Caenorhabditis elegans: one gene and its partners. The protein of the gene in region 4 purifies or fractionates together with the protein of the main gene of each other region. This does not show direct contact. Each region holds a gene or a part of one and is shown on either strand. Other genes may lie near its edges. The genes, in order: got-2.2, memo-1, Y54F10AM.8 and nex-1.

Region 1 (4,758 bases), on a different chromosome or scaffold from region 4:
CAGTCTAAAGTTTTACAGTCTTGATAGACCAGCGTAATTTTTGCCCATTCGGAAATGTTTCACCGAAGCCTTTTTGGGACTTTTGAATGCAGCAAGAACTGGAGGAATCAAATAGAATCAAACAGATTTTCTTGTTACTGAGGGAACCTGTTTTCTCAAATTATGCTTTTTGTTTTTTTTTTTTTTAATTTAATTATGCAGCCCAAGCTGCTTGGCGTCATCGGTAGAGGCCCGCCATTGGATGGTTGTCGGCTTGATTCGGCGGCCGATATAGATGCGCTCATTAACAACTTCGAGTTGAGATATAATGGAGGATCCATTAACGTAGGAAGTACTGGACTCTGAAAATTCATTGCGCGAGGCTTGCCCATTTTCTCAGCTTATCCCACTTATCGTCTTGAAATCTACTGGAACCAATTTCGTATATATTATTTGAGCAGTTGACTGGAAGTAAGTTGTTGATTTGCGACGAGCTAAATACCATCTGAAAATTCACGGCTAGTTTGAGTTCTGTCCAGGTATGATTTTGTAATCTTTGGTTTCAGTTTTTATAAGGCATTTTGAAAACAAGCTGAAATAATTTTTGAAAAAAAAATAGATTTTCTAACCAATTTATTTTGACCCATGACCGTGACTTGAATTTGCAGAATTAAATACCAGAACTCTACGCCCATGTTTCAGAAAACCACACCGATGCGTTTATCTGAAGTCGAAAAGTTTCTGAAAATTTTGTTAAATAATTATGTATTTAACTCTCTAATGTATTTAACATAATTTGATTTTATAAAAATACTTTGTCTTTTTCCTCGAAAATCTTATGGTTTCAGAGAACTCAAAATATGTGCGTGTTATACCATTCATTGTAAGCACACTTCCAACTAAATAAATTTAAATTTGAAAGTGATATTAATTTTTTTTAATTTTTCGTTTTCAGAAAACTGACAATTATATTTCTTTCAAAACAGTTAGAAACACAACGTTTCAGAATCGAATAATTGAATTAACGTAATTGCTAAACAAATATCGTGCATATCATTTTTCAATAACCAACTCCAGTAAAGATTAAGGTCGAAACCCAATTTATTAAAAGTTCCCATTCTCAGAAAAAAAACAGGCTACAAATAAAAATGAGATAAAGCATACTGCCATTCTACAACCGGAGAATAAGAAAACCGAAAACGAGAAAATTATTCTATTATGACAGATAGAATAAGTTAAAATGGGAAGAGTGCATTTGTCACTGATTTACTTGGTGACTTGGTGGAGAGCGTGGGCAAGGTAAGCGACATTGTTCGATGAAATTCCCGCCACCGAGATACGTCCGTCCTTGGTGAGGTAGACAGAGTGTTCCTTGATAAGCTTCTCAACTTGTTGTGGGTTGATTCCAGTAAAGCAGAACATTCCAATTTGGTTGGTAATGTGCTCCCAATTACGAGTAGATCCCTCCTTGGCGAGCAAATCCTTGAGCGTAGTTCTCATGGTGATGATACGATCAGCCATGAGCTTGACATCTCCGAGCCATTGCTTGTTGAGAGCTGGATCCGCGAGGATGCGGGAAGCAATGCGAGCTCCATGGACTGGTGGGTTGGAGTAGAGTGGGCGAATAAGGATCTTGACTTGAGAAGCAACACGAGCAGCCTCATCAGCGTCCGAGGTAACAACGGAGAAAGCACCGACTCGTTCACCTTAAACAGAATAAATTATAAAAATTATGCAGTATTCAGGGTTAGGGCTACAAAAGGGTAGAAAAGATAGGATAATGCGACACCAGTGATATCCGCGTTATCATGGCCTAACTTCCAACACCAAGAAGAAACTGCGCTCTATTGCACAAAAACAATACATTTCGTATTGAACTCCAGCTTGTAAAATTCAAATTTAACAAATTAGTATGTAAACTCACCATAAAGTCCCATGTTCTTGGCAAAGGATTGAGAGAGAACAATGTTGTGTCCTTGCTCGACAAAGTAACGAACAGCGAACGCGTCATTGTCAACATCTCCGGAAGCGAAACCTTGGTAAGCCATATCGAAGAAGACAAACAAGTTGCGTTTCTTCACAATGTCGGAGATCTTCTTCCACTGGTCACGGGATGGATCAACTCCAGTTGGGTTGTGAGCACAAGCGTGAAGCAAGATTGTGGATCCTTCCGGGATTTGAGCAATGTCAGCGAGTGCTCCAGTTTCATCAAAACCACAGGTGGACTTGTCATAATAGCGGTATTGCTTGACATCGACTCCGGCAAATTTGAAGATTGGAACATGGTTTCCCCAAGTTGGTGTTGGCTGGTAGATAACCTTGGTCTTGGCGTACTTAGAAAGGAACTCAGATCCGATTCTAAGGGCTCCAGTTCCAGAAATGCTCTGAGTGGTGAAGATTCTCTTGTTCTTGATCACATCAGAGTTCTCTCCAAGAGCGAGTTGAGCAGAGAGCTTGGTGAACTCGGGAAGTCCTGCAAACAAATAAAGAGTTCAAATGGATCAATAAGTTTATAACACTCACCAACAATTCCGGCGTACTCCTTATCAAGATTGGCAGCGATCACTTGACGTTCAGCTTCCTTGACCGATGGGAGAACAAATGGCTTTCCTTGATCGTCACGGTAAGCTCCGACTCCAAGGTTGATCTTCTTTGGGTTTGAATCGGCTTTGAAGGCCTCGGTGACTCCAAGAATCGCATCTGGTGGTCCCATCTCAACATGCGACCACCACGACTTTCCTCGCACGGCGGTAGAGAAAAGCTTCTTGGAAACGCTCATTGTTGATTGGAGAAAGATTACCTGAATATTCAATATTAATGTTTCGAGTGGGAACTTAAAAGACGTTTTGAAAGTAGGCGTGGAAATCACGTTCCGATTAGAATGAAGCAACGAAACATTGATAGCAGGGAAGACTAGAGTACGTACAACGCATGATTCCTTATCCGAAGAAACAAAAATAAAATAAAACGTGGGTATCATTATCTTTACCAGGACAATTATTTGAGTGTTCAATGGTGTTTGAATGGGCTGATTGGACACTTTTTTTAAATTCAAAAAAGATACCCTAGGACACTCCATTCAGGGTACTAACCACATTTCTAGCCTTTAGCAACGGCGTGGCATCAAACTAGGCTAAAATTGTAGTTAAACTTATTGACTCTATCAAAAACAACTGATGTGAAACAACAAAATGGACCGACTGCACCGCCTATGAAAGAATGGACGCGTCTGCTCATCTTATCCCAGTCCACGAACTGGCAAGGAAGACGACAAGTGAGAAGAACTGGAGAAACTAGGTTAGAGAGTACGGAGATTCGAGAGAGTGTAGGGTGGCAGAGGAAAACTCGGGCGGCCGCGGCAACGTGAGAAACATGCGGTTCGACGATTCAGTCGTTTTTGTGTAACTCGGCGCTCGAGAACTGGTAAACAGTAAGTAAACTGCGTTCGAAAAAAAATATAAGAAAATCGCCGTACTTCGGTCGTGAAATTATTTGTTTAAATAATATAATTTTTTAAACTTTTCTATTAGCAGCACCGTGTTCGCAAAAAAAAATCTCAAAGAATTTTTGATGAACGGAAAAAAAGCGACTAATGACTGTAAAAAGGCAAGGAAAAACTGAGGCCAACAAGATAAATGAAAAAAAATTTGGTTGTTGTTGTGGTTCGTCACTCTCAAAGGTTCGATATTGTCCGCGCGCGGCCGGAGAACACAGGTTGGTAGGTCAAAAGTGCTGGTGGCACACGGATATTGGAAGTCTTAAAATTCAAGATGGTGTCTTACTTCAAAAATTGAATTTGGGATAGCAAAAAAAAATAAATTTAAAGTACAGAAAAAATATAAAACATAGAAAAAAGTTAATGAAAAATGGTTTTTATATTAACGTTTGGACGTTTGGAAAACCGCTCAAAATTGTGTGAAGAATTTCGGATATATTCTGGAAAGGAATCCACCAAAGTGTTGGAGTTTTTTCCCGTCATTTTCAAAGATTAGGACAATTTTTGAGTTTTTTTTTCGATTGTTCCAAATAAAAGGAAAATGATTTTCAGATAAAGCAACCAGTTTTCTATAATCTTTAACTAAGGTATAATTTTTATTTTTTGTTGAATTGCTTGTCGGAAATTATAGCGCATCCACGGTCGATAAAATAAAATGTAAATTGTAAGATGGTTTAAAAAATTTTTCTAACATCTGGAAACAAAAACGTTTACAACTGAACTGCCTGTGAGTATAGTGTTATCATTTTGGATTACCTCTTGTGAGCAAACTTCAATACATTCAATTCTGATAAACAAAACCTAGCACACGTCACACTAACCTGTAGTGTTCAGATAGAGTTTTTTGAAAATTACTTTTAGATTGTCGCCCGAATTTTGTGTAATTCACTTTGTGTTACAAATTTACAAATTGTTCAACATTTGTGTGACTTTCACGTGGACATCCGTAAACATTTTGAGTCCTTTGTTTCTCTCAATTTTTCTCTCGATTTGAGTGCAAAATGATTTTTGCGATAAATATGAAAGAAACTCCAAATTTTGCCTAGCCTAGAGAAAAGGATCTATTGTCTCCGGGAGGTTTCGTATCGCGGAATCGAGACCGGCCTAGAACAGGATCTGTTGTCGGGAAGAGATGAGATTTCTAGGACACGATATGAACGATGTCAAGGCTAAAAAGGTTGCCTTTCTCGAGAAGAACCGTTCATTCTTGCCTGACTCGCATTGAATAATGTCGCATCCTACTCCAGGAAAACGTTTCCAACTCGAGAAAGAAGTCATCGAGG
Region 2 (5,564 bases), on a different chromosome or scaffold from region 4:
GGCGCACGTGGTGTCAGAGTGTCATGCTCGGTTTGATTTACGTAAAACTACGAGAATTGCGGACTTCACATTTTTTTGGGGAAAATTTGTTGAATTATTTTTGTAGAACAAGCGTCCCTTTCTCGTACCTGTTAGTTACAATAGTCATTTTGGCGTGATCTTCGGTGTTTTGTTTATCGATACAGTGCGAATTCAAAATGCAAATATTCCCGATTTTTATCCAGAACAAAAAATAAGTCACTGGCTGATTTTTCGTTGCCTTTTGCATTAAGGAGTACTGTAGTTTCCAGATCCGTCGTTGGTCGTTTTATAGTAAATAAGTTTTTCAATAAATTTTGAGAAAACAAGAGAAAAGCTATTGAAATCAAAATTAAAAATTTCTATGTAGTTCTACCACAACAAGGATGCTCTAGTTGGGAACTTTAGTGCTCGTTGAGACGCACACTCGTTTGCTTTTGATAAATCGATCCTGTCGAAACCCAACACAGTATTTTCTGAGAAAAATATACATATTGCATCTGGGTACAACTTGGTCCAGAAAAGTTACAATGTAATTGTTTTTCTATTTTCCCACGATCACTTTACATTTTCCGTTCCCTTACATAAATTTTCACCTATAAAAATGAACAAACATGGATCGACCGAACTGACGACCCGGGGCGGAGAGCGGGCAAAGCGAGGAAGAGAGTGAGAGCGTTTTGTGAGCGAGCGTCAGGCCAGGCAGTCAGCTGAGTGTCTCTGCCTCCCCACTCACGTTCGATTTCTCGTGTACTTCTTGCCCGTGACCCGTTGTGAGATGTCTCACGTTTTAGTCTTTTTTATCTTGTTTAATTGCCCCATTTCACTTTCAAGTACTCATTTATTACTTTTTTCGTTTTTTGGATAGTTATTTTTCCAAAATTAATTTTTGATTGAAAATATAAAGAATCTACATTCTAATTTAATCAAACAATTTTCTTCATAATTGTTTTTGAACCCCGTGAAAAATGTATAAAGATTCAAAGTCAAATCAAAGATATAGGCGTATTGCGTGACCAAACATTTTCTCGTTTTCCCTTCCCAGCAGCCACCGAGTGAGTGTTTTTCTACCACAGCAATGTGAGCGAATGTGAGCGTCAAAAGAGAGTGTCTTTTTCTCTTTTTTTTGCATTTTCGTCTAAAAGTAGAAACGAAGATAAATGAAAGGGCTGAATGAGGGCTGGATGGACCCGATGACCGCTGAAAAGTGCATTGTTCAGAACTGGAATATGGGAATATTTCGGGGGAAAAAGTATTAGGCAACGAGAAAAACAATCATTCGTGTCTAAATACCTGCCGTAGGTGTAAACAAGACGGAATGGAAGATGGATGATACGAAGTAAATATTGACTCCGTGGTTTACATTTTCAGCTGAAAATACTTACGGCTCTTAGAAATAGGCTTGATACGCATAGATTTTATACCGAAAAATGTTCAGTGTACCAGGAAAATTTAGACAATTTCTTTCAGAAAACTTTGCAAAGCTTATTATTAGTTACAATTGTTATAAAATGAAGAATGCCAAAAATCAAGTTTTATATTGAAAGTCAAATAGGCATGAGGCAGGTATGTAGGCATGAAACTTTGCCTGCCTATAATGGAAGACATAAACGAGTGAACACGAAATAAAGTAGTGAACACGAAATTTTAAAAAAAAAAAGGCAGATTTTCTACAAACCTACCACTTTTTCCATTCTTGGAACTCCCCTTCTTGGCCCTCTTCCAATATTCAAGTGCGAAAAAGACTGAAACAGTGGCCCCTCTAGTGTCAAATGTCTGCCGATTCCATTGTTCTCGTTCTATTTCACTGCCTCCCCTATTGTGTTCTTTCTCCCATCACCCAATACTCTCTTTTTAGTCTTCTTTTTCTTCTAAATACTATCGGCTGGTGTTGTAGAAGAGCGTCTTTCCTTTCATTCTTTTGGCATGCATCCTCATCCCTCTTCATTATTATTATTATGATTATTATATGGCATTGCTTCAGGCAGCCAGTTTCACATCACAAAAAGTGTCAAATTTTCAGGTAATTGGTAGACTGAAGACTACTCGCGGCGGTCCGACAAGACGACGACGACCAGCACAAGATCAGCGCGGTCCTCTTCAATACCATCCACGTCGAGACACGTCGAACGCGAAACAGTCAAACTGTTTGACAGAACCCTCAAATCACTCCCTTCACACATTCTTTTTACGGGTAATTTCAGACATTTTTGGGTGGAATGCAAAGTTTTAAAACGTTTTTCTTATGATTATTTGTATGGGTAGCTTTTTGAAAGAAGCCTCTAAAAAATTTCAGGCGCGCTCTGACGGAAACTTGACGGCGATGTTTAATATTCAAAGTTTCTCTACGTCTCCCGAGTTTAAAAATTTTATATTCTTGGTCTTGATGCGCAGTTTGGATTGGAGCCTACATTTCGTTTTTGAAAAGTGTATTTTAAAACAGGCCCACAATCATGATTATCTTGATTGTTTAATTTTAGTCACGAGACCATCTCAATTTTTGAATAACGGTGACCTTTTGTCAAAAGAAAATTTCAAAGGATTCCACAATCTATTTCAATTTCGTCTTTTTAGACCGAATCTTCTTTGAACAATTATGCGTTCAGCAAAAATGAAAATTGGCTGCGAACACGAACAAGATTCGTCTGACCATGTCCACGTGGCGGGCTTCACTCGGGAACACAATTTTGGTTTTTTGTCTCAAGGTTCTGAAACTTTCGAAAAAAAGCACACACTTTGCAAAATGCTTTTTTTTTGAAAAAAAAACCAAAATCAGCATTTTTGGATTTTCACTTTTTTCTCAAAATTTTCCTTCGTTTTTTTTTTGGAAAGAAATCAGTTTTCAAAACTGAAATTCAATGAAAAAAAAAACACTTTTTTGTTGCATCAACATTTTCGGATTGCCACATTTTGCTCTAAATTGTTCTTGATTTTTTTTGGACAAAAAATGTTTTCAGAATAGATAATAGTTTAAAATTCAGTTCAAAAAACAAAATAGAAGCAAATCCTGTTGTTGCAGGTATTTCAAAACTCTCGTGCTCTATTTCTCAGGACATTTGGCCTTCCTTTTGCAAGATATCTGAATTTTATTTTGTAAGTGTTTCTCGGAAATTATTCAGAATGAAAAACCAGATTCCCATTTCTATTTCGGACATAAACCAAATTAAAAATTTATTTTCTTTCGAGCCAGTTCCCCGGACTTGATTCGAATTCGTGAAGTAGAGCTAGCCCGATGGCTCATATTTTTAGAACATCTTGAATTAAGTGTGATGTTACACTGTATTGTGAATTTTAATATTAATTAATTAAAATTATTTGAATATTTAAATTCAAACTTTTCCATTTTTCAATGTTGACTATTTGGGAAACACACAGTAGTTGAAAACCCTACTAAACATATTAATCAAGTCGTATACAACAATTTATCAAAACTTTAATATTCAGACCATCTGAATTTAAAATGTCACTAAACGGATTCGGCGAGCACACGAGATCTGCCTCACATGCCGGATCATGGTACAACGCCAACCAGCGAGATCTTGATCGGCAACTCACAAAATGGCTTGACAACGCCGGTCCACGGATTGGAACGGCTCGAGCGTTGATTTCACCGTAATACTCTAAATGCATTTAATATTTATTTTCTGATAACTTTCAGACATGCGGGATATTCGTATTGTGGAGAAACAGCTGCATATGCTTTCAAACAAGTTGTTTCATCAGCAGTGTGAGTTGTTGAAATTTGTACTTGGCAACAGGGCTTACTCAATAACTTTCAGTGAAAGAGTCTTCATTCTTGGCCCATCTCACGTTGTTGCTCTAAATGGATGTGCTATAACCACATGCAGCAAGTACAGAACTCCACTCGGCGACTTGATCGTTGATCACAAAAGTAATCTATTGCACTCTTAGTACATCTTTTACAACATTGCCCTTTGCAGTTAACGAGGAGCTTCGTGCCACTCGTCATTTCGATTTGATGGATCGCCGAGATGAAGAATCAGAGCATAGTATTGAAATGCAACTCCCATTTATTGCAAAGGTTATGGGTTCAAAACGTTACACCATTGTTCCGGTACTTGTTGGATCTTTACCAGGATCTAGGCAGCAAACGTATGGAAATATTTTTGCTCATTACATGGAGGATCCAAGAAACTTGTTTGTGATCTCTTCGGACTTTTGCCATTGGGGAGAACGCTTCAGCTTTTCTCCGTACGATCGTCATAGTTCTATTCCGATTTATGAGCAGATAACCAATATGGATAAGCAGGGAATGAGCGCAATTGAGACGCTTAATCCGGCAGCTTTTAATGACTACCTCAAAAAGACCCAGAACACGATTTGTGGGCGTAATCCGATATTGATAATGCTGCAAGCAGCCGAACATTTCCGGATCAGTAACAATCACACTCACGAGTTTAGATTCTTGCATTACACACAATCAAACAAGGTAGAGATTCAGAATTGCTTAATATTTTTCAATCAACAATAAATCCATTTCAGGTTCGATCATCGGTCGATTCTTCTGTTTCTTATGCTTCAGGAGTTCTATTTGTACATCCAAACTGACATCCCGCCAGTCCTTCACTCTTTTTTCTACGTATTTTCTTTTGCAACTACTGTCTTCTTCCTGAATTGTTGTGTAATATGTGTAAATTGAAAATCTGTTTATAGGCTCTTTTCTCCTTCTATTCAGGATTCGAGCACAGTTAATTGTGTTACTTCATCAACTTTTCACCTCCACCTAAATTTTCGAATTTTCTCCCATTCCGATTGAAAACTTTCGAACTATTCAAATGATATTTCCAACTTTATTGTGATTGGCAAATAAACAATTAATTCACATTTCAGCTTTAATATACAGAAATCTTTAAAGCTAGACCCTCCATTATTTAATGGGACCGTAGACAATGTAGGTGGGCTTGGTACCATTGACACCATCCAAATCCTTATCAGCAGCTCCCGAGAAGAATGAGCTAGCATCGACAATGTTCACCTCTTGCTCGGCGATTGGAGTTGCGTACGCTAGTATGAATTTCCCATCGATTTCTATTTTACAGTTCAGGTCACCGGCAAAATTAATTTTTGCGACGAAGTCCGAATGAGCAGCGACTGATTCGAAAGTTGTTCCGAATTTTTTTTCGGCTTGCTGAAATTTGGTGGATATTTTAAGCTTATTCAAGTTGTAATTCAAGTCGTAATTCAAGTTGTAAGCTTATTCAATTCTAGGGAAGAGCACATTACATTATAAAATGAAATCCATAAACCCCACCGCTTGCACTGCAGTTGCCATTTTCTGTACATTGCACAGTGATGCACCATCTGCTTTTGCGGCCAGGTACGCGTCTTCCATAGTTTTCTCAAGTGTCACGTTACAGCAAAGGAATCCCGACGGGTTCGTGAAACAGTTTGGTCCTGGTGGCGGTGGCGGTGGAGGCGGAATGACTACAGGCACCGGAACGAAGAATCCATTGTTACCACCACCACCAGTACCTCCTAGACCGCCGTTTAGAAAGAACGAGAGTGGGGAGAATCCTCCGGGGCCT
Region 3 (7,354 bases), 2.7 Mb from region 4:
GATGGGTCTCGCCACGATGGGTCTCACCACGAAGGGTCTCACCACGGTGGGTCTCACCACGATGGGTCTCACCACGATGGGTCTCACCACGATGGGTCTCGCCACGATGGGTCTCACCACGATGGGTCTTTCCACGATAGGTCTCACCACGATGGGTCTCGCCACGATGGGTCTCGCCACGATGGGTCTCGCCACGAAGATCTCGCAGCAACATTTTTTTAAATTTTCCAGAAGGTTCTAGAACAATCCAGAATTTTTTCGAATTTTCCAGAAGGTTCTGGAACATTCCAGAATTTTCTAGAATTTTCCAGAAGGTTCTGGAACATTCTAGAATTTTCCAGAAATTCCCAGAAGGTTCTGGAACATTTCAGAATTTTCCCGAAGTTTCCAATTTCCCTTCCAAAGACGGAAAGTCAATTTTTCCTAAACTACAGTAATCCTACAGTACTCCTACAGTACCTCTACAGTTCTACTACAGTACCCCGACCATATCCCATTAATAACTCCAAACCTTTATCTCTTCAAAAGAAAAAACTCAATTTTTCCTAAACTACAGTAATCCTACAGTACTCCTACAGTACCTCTACAGAACTACTACAGTACCCCGACCATATCCCACTACTAACCCCAAACCTATATCTCTTCAAAAGACAAAAACACAATTTTTCCCAAACTACAGTAATCCTACCGTACTCCTACAGTACTACTACAGTACCCCGCCCATATCCCCCTACTAACCCCAAACTAATATCCCTCCAACAGCCGAAAACGCCTTGCCTTTGTAAGCTATGACATTTTATTTTTTCGTCTAAAATTTTATTTTTTCGTCTAACATTTTTCTATTTTCGGTATCGGTTCAAACCTGTAGAAGTTCATTTTTTTAAAGTTTAAAAACCTGGAGGAGAAGAGAAGAAATGGGTGTTCCCATAAAGACGGTTTCTTTCAGTTCTTTGCTTCATTAAACTTAACTGCCAACTCTTTTGAGGTCAGACTAACCATCCACTCGAATTTCATTTCGTTTCGAAAAACCGTTTCATTAAAAGCTTCTACACCAAAATTTAGGAGTGAAAAATTGATTTAAAATGTATAAAAATTGGGTCATCAGAATAAAAATGGGGTAGAAATCTAATTATCATATGGTGTCAGTTGAACTTGTGCTGCAAGTTGCCATTCCAAATCAACATAGGTAAAATTCCAGACATCTGGCTGACCAAAGTGACGAACGTTTGTTAGATTTGTGTGATTCCAGCTGAAAATAATTAGTTGAGTTGAAAATTTGAATTTTTAAAATTCCACTAATTCCACTAAACATTTCAATTTCAAATTGATTTTTTTTTTGAATTTCGGCAAAAAATGCGTTGGGAACTTCAATATTTGAAATTTCCTGTCGAAAAACCTTTTGGAAAATTAGAAAAATTGCAGTTTCCCGCCAAAATTTAGTTTGAAATTTTTAAAATATAAAACTTCCCAGTTTTTTTTGGAAGTTTTAAAAAATAAATTGAAACGTGAAAACTTTAGTTGAAAACTCAATAAAATGCCAGGAACTTACTCAAAAACTGGAAGAGGATCATATGGTGGTCCACCCCATGCACGGAATCTCATTTTCTTGAACATTTCATAGTTGGTTCCCTTAAAATCAAGTCCAGCATGATCTCTGAATCCCATTGATTCGACTTCGTAAGTACCTCCGGGAGTGTTCAAATCACCACGAGCAGAGATACCTCCCTGGAAATAGTTAACTTTTTAGAGAATAGTCAAGCTTTTCAGGCTTCAATTAACACCTGGCAGGCAGGCAGGTAGGCATGTAGCCAGGCAGGCATAAAATGTTAAGTTGCAAAGTTATAGAATAATAATTAACAGAAAACCTTGTTAGTAGACAATTTTTGATTAAAAAAGGGAGCCGAAATATAATATGTCGAAGTTTAGAGATCGATGCACCAGGGCTGTGCGGCTGGTGAGTCGGCTGGTAGAGCATTTTTAAAGTTTACAGTGTGTAAGAAGTTACTAATTTGGAAATAGTTATTTCAGTTGAATAGAGCGTCCCCTGAGCTAGCTATTAAACAAAAAATTTCGAAAAAAAACCTGTACACACGTTTAATAAGCACGTTTTTTGAATCTACCAGCCGACAGCCGACAGCCGACAGCCGACACCTGAGAACTTTAAGCCGTATCAGAACGGTGACTGATTTTTTTTCGATTTTTTTTTTGAAAAAACTGTCCCGTGGGTCTACTTATTAGAATTTTATAATTACTTTAAAATCGTTTTTTGTTGACCCTGTGAAAACTTTAAAAATGCTCTACCAGCCGACTTGCCAGCCGCTCAGCCCTGCGATGCACCATGTGCAACTCTAGAACTATTCAACTTTGGCAGCCTATATCTCGGTTCATTTTTGAGATATCAATAAAATTTCAACTACAAAATTATAGAGAAAGAACTAACAAACATTTTGTCAATTGATAACTTTTTGATAAAACCGAAGATAGCTGAGATATGGCCTGACAAAGTTCAGAGACCGATGCACCACGTGCAAAACTAGAACTCCTTATCTTTAGAAGCTCAAATCTCGGCTTATTTTTGATATACCAACAAGTTTTAAACTACAAAATTATAGAAAAAGAAATAACCAAAGTTTTGACAATTGACAACTTTTTGATAAAACTGATTACAACTGAGATATCGGCTTTCAAAGTTTAGAGATCGATGCACCATGTGCAAATCTAGAACTATTCAACTTTGGCAGCCTATATCTCGGTTCATTTTTAAGATACCAAAAAAAATTTTTACCTCTCCAGTATACGGATTGGGTGTGCACTTGCATCTTGCAAACTCCTCATGAGTATAATCATTGTATCTCATCAATTTTGTCAATGAATCAATATCAGTGACTTTTGAATGATCTCTATCAAAGATTCTTGCACGTGGGGAGCCTCCCCAATCGAACCATGCAAATTGTCTGGCCTTGTTGTCAAAACCGGAGATCTCGCTGACTTTTGGAAGGAATGGAATGTTGTAAGAGGCGAAATAGGTGTACTTCTTCAGGTACCATGTCATGTCACGGGTCTCGTAGTAGCCACTGAAATTTTGAGGGATTACTGCTTGTTTGCTTAGGTGCCTACTCACGGTGTCTGCTCGGAAATCCAAAGAACATCCTTGTCGGGGAGCTCCTTCTCAGGAGTGAATTGTTTCCAATCCAACACCGTCCACTGATTGTTATAGGTTCCTGAATTGTACCGTCCGAACATGTCAACCCATTGTTTCCCGGTTCTTGAGAGCAAGTTCGAGATCATCGATCGGATCCAGCAGTGAACTTGTCCTTCTGGTTTCATGAACTTGTCAGTATACAGGGTTTGGTTGAAAATCGCAATTGTCGTTTCGATAGAGGTCTGTAAGATCATAAATGCATAGGCTTCAGGCAGGCATGCATGCCTACACAGACCCACTTACCAATCCAGCAGAGGTGATAGTGTAGTCATCGGTGGAAATCAATACTCCCGGGTACCCGGAGAAAGTAACAATATGCCCGGGAACCTCGTTGACGTCATATCCGAACTTGTAAATTTTGAGAACTCTCTGCATCCAACTGAGAGAAGACATTGAGACATGAGCCATGAACATGTCCTTGTTCCCTGGAGCAAGTTTGACGAATCCGGAGCATCTTCCACCTTCTGGGTACTCCATCGGGTCGGCGGTTTTGTTGAGAAGCTTGTTCAGGTCAAACATATCTCCGGCTAGTTGCATCATGCTGGAAGATTTATCACGTAGTGAGTATAGAAAGGTCTCGTGGCCTAGAAACCTTGGCGGTCGCGCTTAGGAAAGGCGTGACGTCACATGGCATTAAGAAACCCAGATAGTTGGACTTAGTTGCCTAAGCCTAAGCCTAATCCCATGCATAAGCCTAAGCCCAAGCTTAAGCCAGTTTTTACCACTACTAAACTCACTAAATTGGGTGAAGATCAAATCCGATTTCTGGTGTCAAATTTCTCTTGCTATAGGCATCGTAGATTCCGGTGAGCTGAGCAAATGTCAAATTGACCTGACGCCAGAATGGATCCGTCGGTGGATTGGCCTGAACTTGGCTTCTCATCCAGTCCAAATTTTGTTGAAGATAAATGTAGAGACGTTTGCAGAACAAGCTGAAATTAGTGGGAAATTGAGCAACCGACCAATTAGAGACGTTGGCTCCGCCTCCTAACAAAACGCTGATTGGTTGGAGCTCATTCAAAAGCTTTTGACTTAGATTGAAACAAAACCAACATACGTATGATTATTGCACATTGTCTCAATAGTATTACGATAGTGATAGTAGATTTGAAGGCGAGTGAGCTCTCCTTCTGCAACTCCTGCTCCGTATGCTTGAACATCATATGAGTGACTGGCGAATGTTTCAATCTCGAGAATTCCCCATCCGGTGGTGTTCACCTGGTTTGAGTATTTTCCCAGAGCAACACGGGATGCTGCGTTTTTGCATTCCTTGGCGTATCTGAAAAAGTTTAAGTTTCTAAAGTTTATGGATGATGAATTTATACTTGTAATTAAACTGTAAAGTTCTATGAATCAAACTTAATTTTTAGTTGACCATATTTAAATAGCTTGATAAAAATCAAGCAGCCGACACTTGACGGGATTTTCACGCTCTATTAGTGGCCGACACTGCATGGGTTTGGTTTCGGTGCTTGATATATTTTCAGACAGCAGTAACTCAGAATCTAGACAATTTGGTTGAAATTTTCCAATTGGTAAATGTATTCTTGCACTTTTTAGTTTAACACTTGTCTATATCTTCACTTAGGAAAAAGTTATAGCGGCCGACGTCCCACAGGTTCGCTTTGGAAATATTATATGTTAGATTTCATTTATTTTCACTGCCCAACAAATAATGGGTCTCAAAAACTGAAAAATAAACTCACACAATATCCAAAAGAGTCTCATCTGTAGAGTTTACACAGACTGACACATAGGTATAGTCGAATTTGGCCGAAGAATGGTCATTCAGGATTTGCTCAACTGGGACTCTCTGAAAATTTTTCGATTAGTTGTATTTATAGTGACACCTAAAATTGACAACACTTTTTGCTCACTTTTACTTGCCGGAATCTTCTTGGCTTGGTCTAGGCTTAGGCTCTCAAACACAGTTACGTAGATTTATGTCCATAGCGGGTAGATTTAGGCTTAGGCTGAGGCTTAGGCTTAGGAATAGGTTTAGGCTTAGGCATAGGCATAGGCATAGGCGTAGGCTCAGATTTAGGGTTGGGGCTAGGCTTAAGCTCAAGCTTCGGTTCTGAAGCTTGGATTCTTTCGATAAATTGAGCAAAACGTGTTGTCACTTTAAGTTTCTGAAAATTTCTATTTTTAGCTCGACTCGCTACATGGGCGAGAAAAACTTAGAAAACTAAGCCACCGGCTTAAAAAACTCACATTATTATCGAGATATGGTTTTTCTTGCTCTACAGCAAATATTAACCCAAAGAGAAAGAAGAGTAACTTCATTTCTGAAAAATATCAAACATCACTAACTGAAAATAGAGAAGAAAAAATCAAAAAATTGGCCTAAAATCGGGAAGAATTGCGAATGAAAATGGTTTTCATTATCATCAATCTATCAGAATGATAATGAGACAGTGTACAGAGAGACGACGTTATCAGTTAACGGAGCACAGTGCAATCAGACTGATACCCGTTGTTCGGTTATCTCCTGATCAAATTTGATGGGGAGAACATGGAAATTTATTGGACACGCGTGTACTGGCCCGGCCAAAATTTCCGTGTTTTTTACCCAGTGCGTCCCAGAACTCTATAAAATAGCCGAATGGCAAAAATTGATTGATTTTTCTGAAAATATCGAAGCGTTGAGATCAGGGCTGTGTGGCATTTTTTTTTCGGCAAACGCAAAAAACTGCTTATTTCAACATGATAATCCAACTTTTGGAATCCAAAATTAATATAGCAATGTAGAAAAAGATTTGTTCCATCTCAAAATAACATTTATTTTTATTGAAAAGCTCGAAAAAGACCTCAAATATTGCCTGAAAGTTGCCGTTTGCCGAAAAACTATTAATGGCACTTTTTCGACAAACGACCACTTTCAGGTAATATTTGAGGTCTTTTTCAAGCTTTTCAATAAAAATAAATGTTATTTTTAGATGGAGCAAACCTTTTTCTACATTGCTATATTTATTTTGGATCCAAAAATTGTTCTGAACCACCACTTGATATTCTTTAAATCTTATTTTCCATTTTCACTTCCTAATTCCAAGTTGCCCCGGGGTTCAAGGTTCAACCTACATATACCCCCCCCCCCCCACCTTTCCTCAATAAAATACGGAAGTACGGTTCCAGTACTTGAACGGAAAACTTGTAAGCAGTTTCGGGTGGGAGATAATACAGGGGCGCATCCGGCTACTTCTCTAATCTCCTTGCAAATCCTCATCATTCAAACCAAGGGGCAGATCGAAAGGCAATAAGTGGACGAATACACATAGCTGTCGCCGTTTTTATAATGATTGACCTCTTTCGGTCATGTAAGTGGTCTCCTCCCTTCCCGTGTGTTGATCCGTTCTTCTTTGAAGATACATCTATTCTCACTAGTTTATGAGATCATCTCTTCACGAATGAGACTTCTCCTCGGCTTCTGCTTGCTTCCTATACTTGGTTCGTTTTTTTTTTTTTGAATTGAAAACTTATAACATCTGAAACTCGAACTCTACGATTTCTTGTGGGCTCAAAGGTGTTACCGGCTGATTTTTTCCCTTTTTTGTAGCTGTGAGCTTTAAGGCACTACTACTTATTATTTTGTTAGTTGACACAATTTTGATATCATTTTCCGTTAGTGAATTGCATGGTTTGGAAAGAATGTTTGTAATTTTTTGGAATTTTTACATATTTTTTTCGTTAAGGTTCTGTAACTTAAACATTGTGAGTGCTAACAAAATGTTGTCAACTAACGAAATACTTATTAAAACGTGCTTACCATTTTGCCAATTGACATTTTTTTCGTATCACTTTTTGTTCGCGAGTTACAGAGCCTGGAAGAAAGTTAAGAAAGTTACTAAATGGGTGTTGTAGGAGTACTGTAGGGATACTGTAGCTAGGGTACTGTAGGGGTAGTGCAAGGATACTGTATGCCTATTATAGGAGTACCGTAGCGACAGTGTAGTGTAGCGACTACTGTAGAGTACCGGTCGGGGCTATCAACAAAAAACAGTGAACAAAAAACAAAAATTGTATTTCTCCAAAACATTCCTAGAGACTATGAGGTGCTGAAAGGTACTGTAGGAGTACTGTAGAGGTACTGTAGACCAATTTGATTTGTATGTATAATTTTCAGTGTCCTCCCAGCTAGCAGCAGTCTACTCG
Region 4 (4,022 bases):
AACTACAAGTTTGTCGCTCCTTATCGTGTATTAGTTGATGGAACATTCTGCAATGCGGCACTCCAAGAAAAGCTCAACCTTGCTGAACAAATTCCAAAATATCTCACCGAGGAGACACACCTAATGACAACAAATTGTGTGTTGAAGGAACTAGAAAAATTCGGACCACTTCTTTATGGAGCTTTTGTCATTGCCAAGCAGTTCGAAATTGCAGAATGTACACATTCAACTCCCCGAGCGGCTTCTGACTGTCTTGCTCATTTAGCTCGGCGAGCTGCAAGTGGAAAAACCAAATATTTGATTGCAACCCAGGACGATGAATTAACTGAAAAGCTGAGAGCAATCGTTGGAACACCGATTATGTACATCAAATTTAAGACTGTGCTACTTGATAATGTGAGTTTTTAAAAACTGAGTGTACTGGAAAAAACATTTTACGTTTCAGATTTCTGAAGCTACAAAGGCTGGCTGTTCTAAAGAAGAATCCGAAATCAAGAAGCTAAAGGAGTTAAAAAATGCGCTGATCGGCCAACAAGAATTGAAGAAGAAGAAAAAGAAAAAAGGAGTCAATCCATTGTCGTGCAAGAAGAAAATTATGAAAGCGTCTGTGGATATCGTCAGAACTGGAGAGAGAACTGCTTCAGGAAAGAGGAAAAGGACAAAAAAGAAGGGATCCTCCATGGATGAAGAGTAAAACATAATGATCTCTTCCGTTTTTACTTGTTTTTGTTGATTTTTAATTTTTTTTCTGTTGAATGAAAATTCATTTTGTGAACGCAGATTTTTTTTTAAGATTTTTATTACAAAATGCGACATTTGAACATAAAAAATACAATCCAGTCTGGTACATATTAGGAGAGGAATGCAGGTAACATTTTAGGGGTTGAAAAGTGAATTTTAATACGAAATTAATGAAGTAAAGCTTGGGTTTGTCAATTTCAGCATCTAGTGGGCAGTAGCGTGGTTTCCATTGATGATGGAGAGCAGAGCGTCACGGTAGGCTCCAGAAGTGTCTCCCTTCACTGTGTCGGCCAAGCTCTTAGAGTAGAGCTCTTGGAATTCGGCCTTGATGAGCTCCAAGTCGACTTCGGAACGAGTGACGATGACACGGATCAAGTCGTTATCGCGAGTTCCGAGTCCTTTCATGGAAGCGTGGAGCTGCTGAGCGAAGAACTTCTGCTTGTCGGAAGCGGCACGGACAATGGTGAGGTAGGATTTCTGGAGATCTCCGGAAAACTCCTTCTCGATGCTTTTCTCGATAGAGCCACCAGCGAGTTCCTGGAAGTAGGCGAAGACCTTGCGGAGCTGGTATTGATTTTGAGTGGCGAGGATGTGAAGGAAGTGTGTTCCGTCCTTCTTGGCAAGCTTGGCTTTTCCGTCGGCGAACAGGCGAACAGCATCCTAAAATAAGAAAATGAATAATTGATCACAGTGAAAAAATAAAGAAAACTTACATCCTTGGCCTGAGCGTCGTTGGTATCATGAGATCCGTCTTTGGATCCAGTGACCAAGCTGACCAAAAGATCACGGAATTCTCCAGAAGTATCTCCAGCGATGTCAGCTTCCAAAGCCTTTCCATACTCCTTCTCGTAGGTCACACGAATGGCGCGGAGTTGATCAACAGTTCTGGAGCACAAAATCTCGATGAGCACAGCCTCGTCAGTTCCCAATCCCTTCATGGCAGCCTTAAGCTGCTTCACATCATAATCCAATGGAGTTTCCATGAGAGCGAAGATGGCCTTCTCGAGATCTCCAGAGAACTTCTTGTCAAGAGCCTGGATGATGTCCTTTCCGTACTTGAGCTTGTATGGCTCGCGGAGCTGCTGGCGCTGAGCGTTGGAGATCGAGGTGATGACGTTGACAACAGCGTCCTTCTCTCCGGCACGAAGAGCACGGTCGATCTTCTCAGCGAACATCGGAGCATTGAACTCTCTAGCGTCGACGATTGTAGCGTATGGGGAAGTCATTCTGGAAACAAACGTGTAATTATTAGGTTTTAAAAGTAAGAAAGAAGCAGAAAAATGGAAGAAAATGAATGGATAAATGAGATGGCGTCTAATATTTATATTTTTCAGTTTTTTGTTTTTAAAAAATTCGGCGAATACAAATTTGTTTACACAGTTTGTTTACTACTGTATACAGTTGGTACGCATTCTTGCGGTGTTTGCGGGTAGTGCATCACAAATTACGCCATGTTTTTCAAGAATGTTTTAAACAATTATATAATTAATTTTTGTTTATGGGTTAAGTGAAAATATCTACTTATATATAGGATGTTTGTAATCTTTTTTGAAATGGAAAAATCCAGGCACTTGTTCCAATCCTGGCCAGAGAGAAATAAATGAACATATTTCTGGACAAGAAAACCGTCAACTGATAAGCAAAATGAAATGACAACACTGAAACAAAAATGACTGTTCACTGAGTGGTAAAGAGGGGCATCTGGGGACGACTAAAAGGAAGAGCGCCGCTGGGGGAGAAAATGGGCGGAGCCAAGAGGGTGATTCATCGCAAACGATAGGAGAGATAGAGATTGAGAGAGAAAACAAAAACAACAGAAAACAGTGGAGAAGAAACATAGGCGGATGATGAAATACAGATAATATTGGATCTTCTTTGTCTTTTTTTTGAGGCAATTGAAAAAATTGAAATTAAACGAAAATTGCGAAAGTTATGACTCATTAGGTTATATAGGTTCTAAATTCTAAATTTAGAATTCATATAAATGATCTAATGTAACACCTCTTCAGGTCCATACCAAAAGTGTTTATGGGGGTGAATTTTAATTTAGAAGCGAAAAAACCAGCATCTTCTCTCGTTTCTCAAATTTCATGCTATCATTTCTTGTTTTTTAACTGGAGTCCCGAAATGAGGGATCGATTTCCTTGTTGTTTTCCCTCCAACAAACATTTTTCCTGCCGGTTCAGGGACACCAACAGGCACCGATCTTCTACCAATTTTTTGTGTCCGTTCGCACATTGAATGACCTGTACGATCGGTGTAGTGTTCTAGTTGATGTGTAACGGAGAGAGAGAGAGAGAGGATGATTCATGGTGTATGGGTAGAAACAAAAATTGTGAAAATTAGAAATTTTTGTGATGAAAAAAACAGAGTTTTTTTGGTAAGAAATGCAAAAACGAGGAGAGCATGACTAAGAAATTTTGTGTTATTAGAAAAATGAACAAATTAAAGTCAAGTTTTTGAGAGCTTGCCCTTCAATGTTGACTGAAATGAAATTTCGTGAACAATTTCGGGCAGTTCAACCTTTTTTGAAACTGGCCCAAAGTTTCTCGAAACGGATTTTCTACGATTTTTCAAAGATTTATTGGAAAAGTTCCTTTTATAAACTTGCGCCATACCTTGCCCAGACTTAGTTTAAGCCGGGCCAATCTTTGATACGAATTTGTTTTTGACTAGTGAGTTGGTTTGAACTTGGGTAAGGTTTTGGCAAGAATTGGATGAAATTTGAGATAAACTTTGGCACGGCCTAAAGTATTTTCCAAGTATTTTCGAAGTTTAGCCCTAGTTTTGTCAACTTCTAAACTGAGTTAATATTTTATGAGTCGCCAAATGCCGAGAAATTAGATGAAGCGTTTTAAATTTTTTGTTAAGCATTCCTACGAGTTGCTTAGATAACTCTATTCGCGGCGTTTCATTTTCTAGATAACTGAGAGTTTTATCAAAATATGTGGAATAGCCATATATTACTTCCGTGGCATATGCAAATGTTCTTGTTGATGTATACTATGTGGAATTTGAATGGTTCACAAGGCCATTGGTCAACGATCAAATTTGTCAACATAAATTGAAAAAGACCGCGTATATAACTGTGGCCAATCTTTTTTTTTGGTTGGTATTGAGGGAATAAAAGGATTTGGAGAGTATTTTCAAAAGTATAGGAAGTTAATAACTGTACATTAAATGGGATTTTATTAATGGAGAGGAGAATAAAAAAGTTCAAGAAACGGATTGGTCTTGATGTAGTAGCATGTTCAGATGAATTGACCTTTTTGGGGAACAAT

The links.
Region 1: the proteins of nex-1 (region 4) and got-2.2 fractionate together in Caenorhabditis elegans (co-fractionation; one large-scale study listed by BioGRID). This does not show direct contact.
Region 2: the proteins of nex-1 (region 4) and memo-1 fractionate together in Caenorhabditis elegans (co-fractionation; one large-scale study listed by BioGRID). This does not show direct contact.
Region 3: the proteins of nex-1 (region 4) and Y54F10AM.8 fractionate together in Caenorhabditis elegans (co-fractionation; one large-scale study listed by BioGRID). This does not show direct contact.

Annotation. Positions count from the first base shown.
Region 1 is NC_003284.9:6,239,004-6,243,761, reverse strand, and holds got-2.2 (Aspartate aminotransferase), read right to left. Parts: upstream 2,780-4,758; 5' UTR 2,759-2,779; coding exon 2,503-2,758; intron 2,453-2,502; coding exon 1,904-2,452; intron 1,686-1,903; coding exon 1,246-1,685; 3' UTR 1,053-1,245; downstream 1-1,052. Other genes in the region: rml-3 (dTDP-4-dehydrorhamnose 3,5-epimerase), read left to right, coding at 4,704-4,758.
Region 2 is NC_003283.11:7,843,642-7,849,205, reverse strand, and holds memo-1 (Protein memo-1 homolog), read left to right. Parts: upstream 1-2,212; intron 2,213-2,592; 5' UTR 2,593-2,669; coding exon 2,670-2,723; intron 2,724-3,037; coding exon 3,038-3,111; intron 3,112-3,462; coding exon 3,463-3,630; intron 3,631-3,676; coding exon 3,677-3,745; intron 3,746-3,797; coding exon 3,798-3,910; intron 3,911-3,959; coding exon 3,960-4,468; intron 4,469-4,521; coding exon 4,522-4,587; downstream 4,588-5,564. Other genes in the region: grd-8 (Ground-like domain-containing protein), read right to left, coding at 4,907-5,167, 5,291-5,564. UniProt on the Caenorhabditis elegans protein: Plays a role in the oxidative stress response and the maintenance of longevity by regulating the interaction between GTPase rho-1 and oxidase bli-3. In turn, this serves to modulate bli-3 activity and the control of reactive oxygen species production.
Region 3 is NC_003281.10:2,502,483-2,509,836, forward strand, and holds Y54F10AM.8 (Putative phospholipase B-like 3), read right to left. Parts: upstream 5,491-7,354; 5' UTR 5,489-5,490; coding exon 5,417-5,488; intron 5,016-5,416; coding exon 4,909-5,015; intron 4,482-4,908; coding exon 4,260-4,481; intron 4,135-4,259; coding exon 3,940-4,134; intron 3,744-3,939; coding exon 3,446-3,743; intron 3,385-3,445; coding exon 3,122-3,384; intron 3,075-3,121; coding exon 2,786-3,074; intron 1,726-2,785; coding exon 1,550-1,725; intron 1,250-1,549; coding exon 1,126-1,249; 3' UTR 937-1,125; downstream 1-936. Other genes in the region: Y54F10AM.6 (uncharacterized protein), read left to right, coding at 6,610-6,649, 7,326-7,354. UniProt on the Caenorhabditis elegans protein: Putative phospholipase.
Region 4 is NC_003281.10:5,223,569-5,227,590, reverse strand, and holds nex-1 (Annexin), read right to left. Parts: upstream 1,971-4,022; 5' UTR 1,968-1,970; coding exon 1,455-1,967; intron 1,402-1,454; coding exon 946-1,401; 3' UTR 787-945; downstream 1-786. Other genes in the region: C34E10.10 (rRNA-processing protein UTP23 homolog), read left to right, coding at 1-396, 446-694.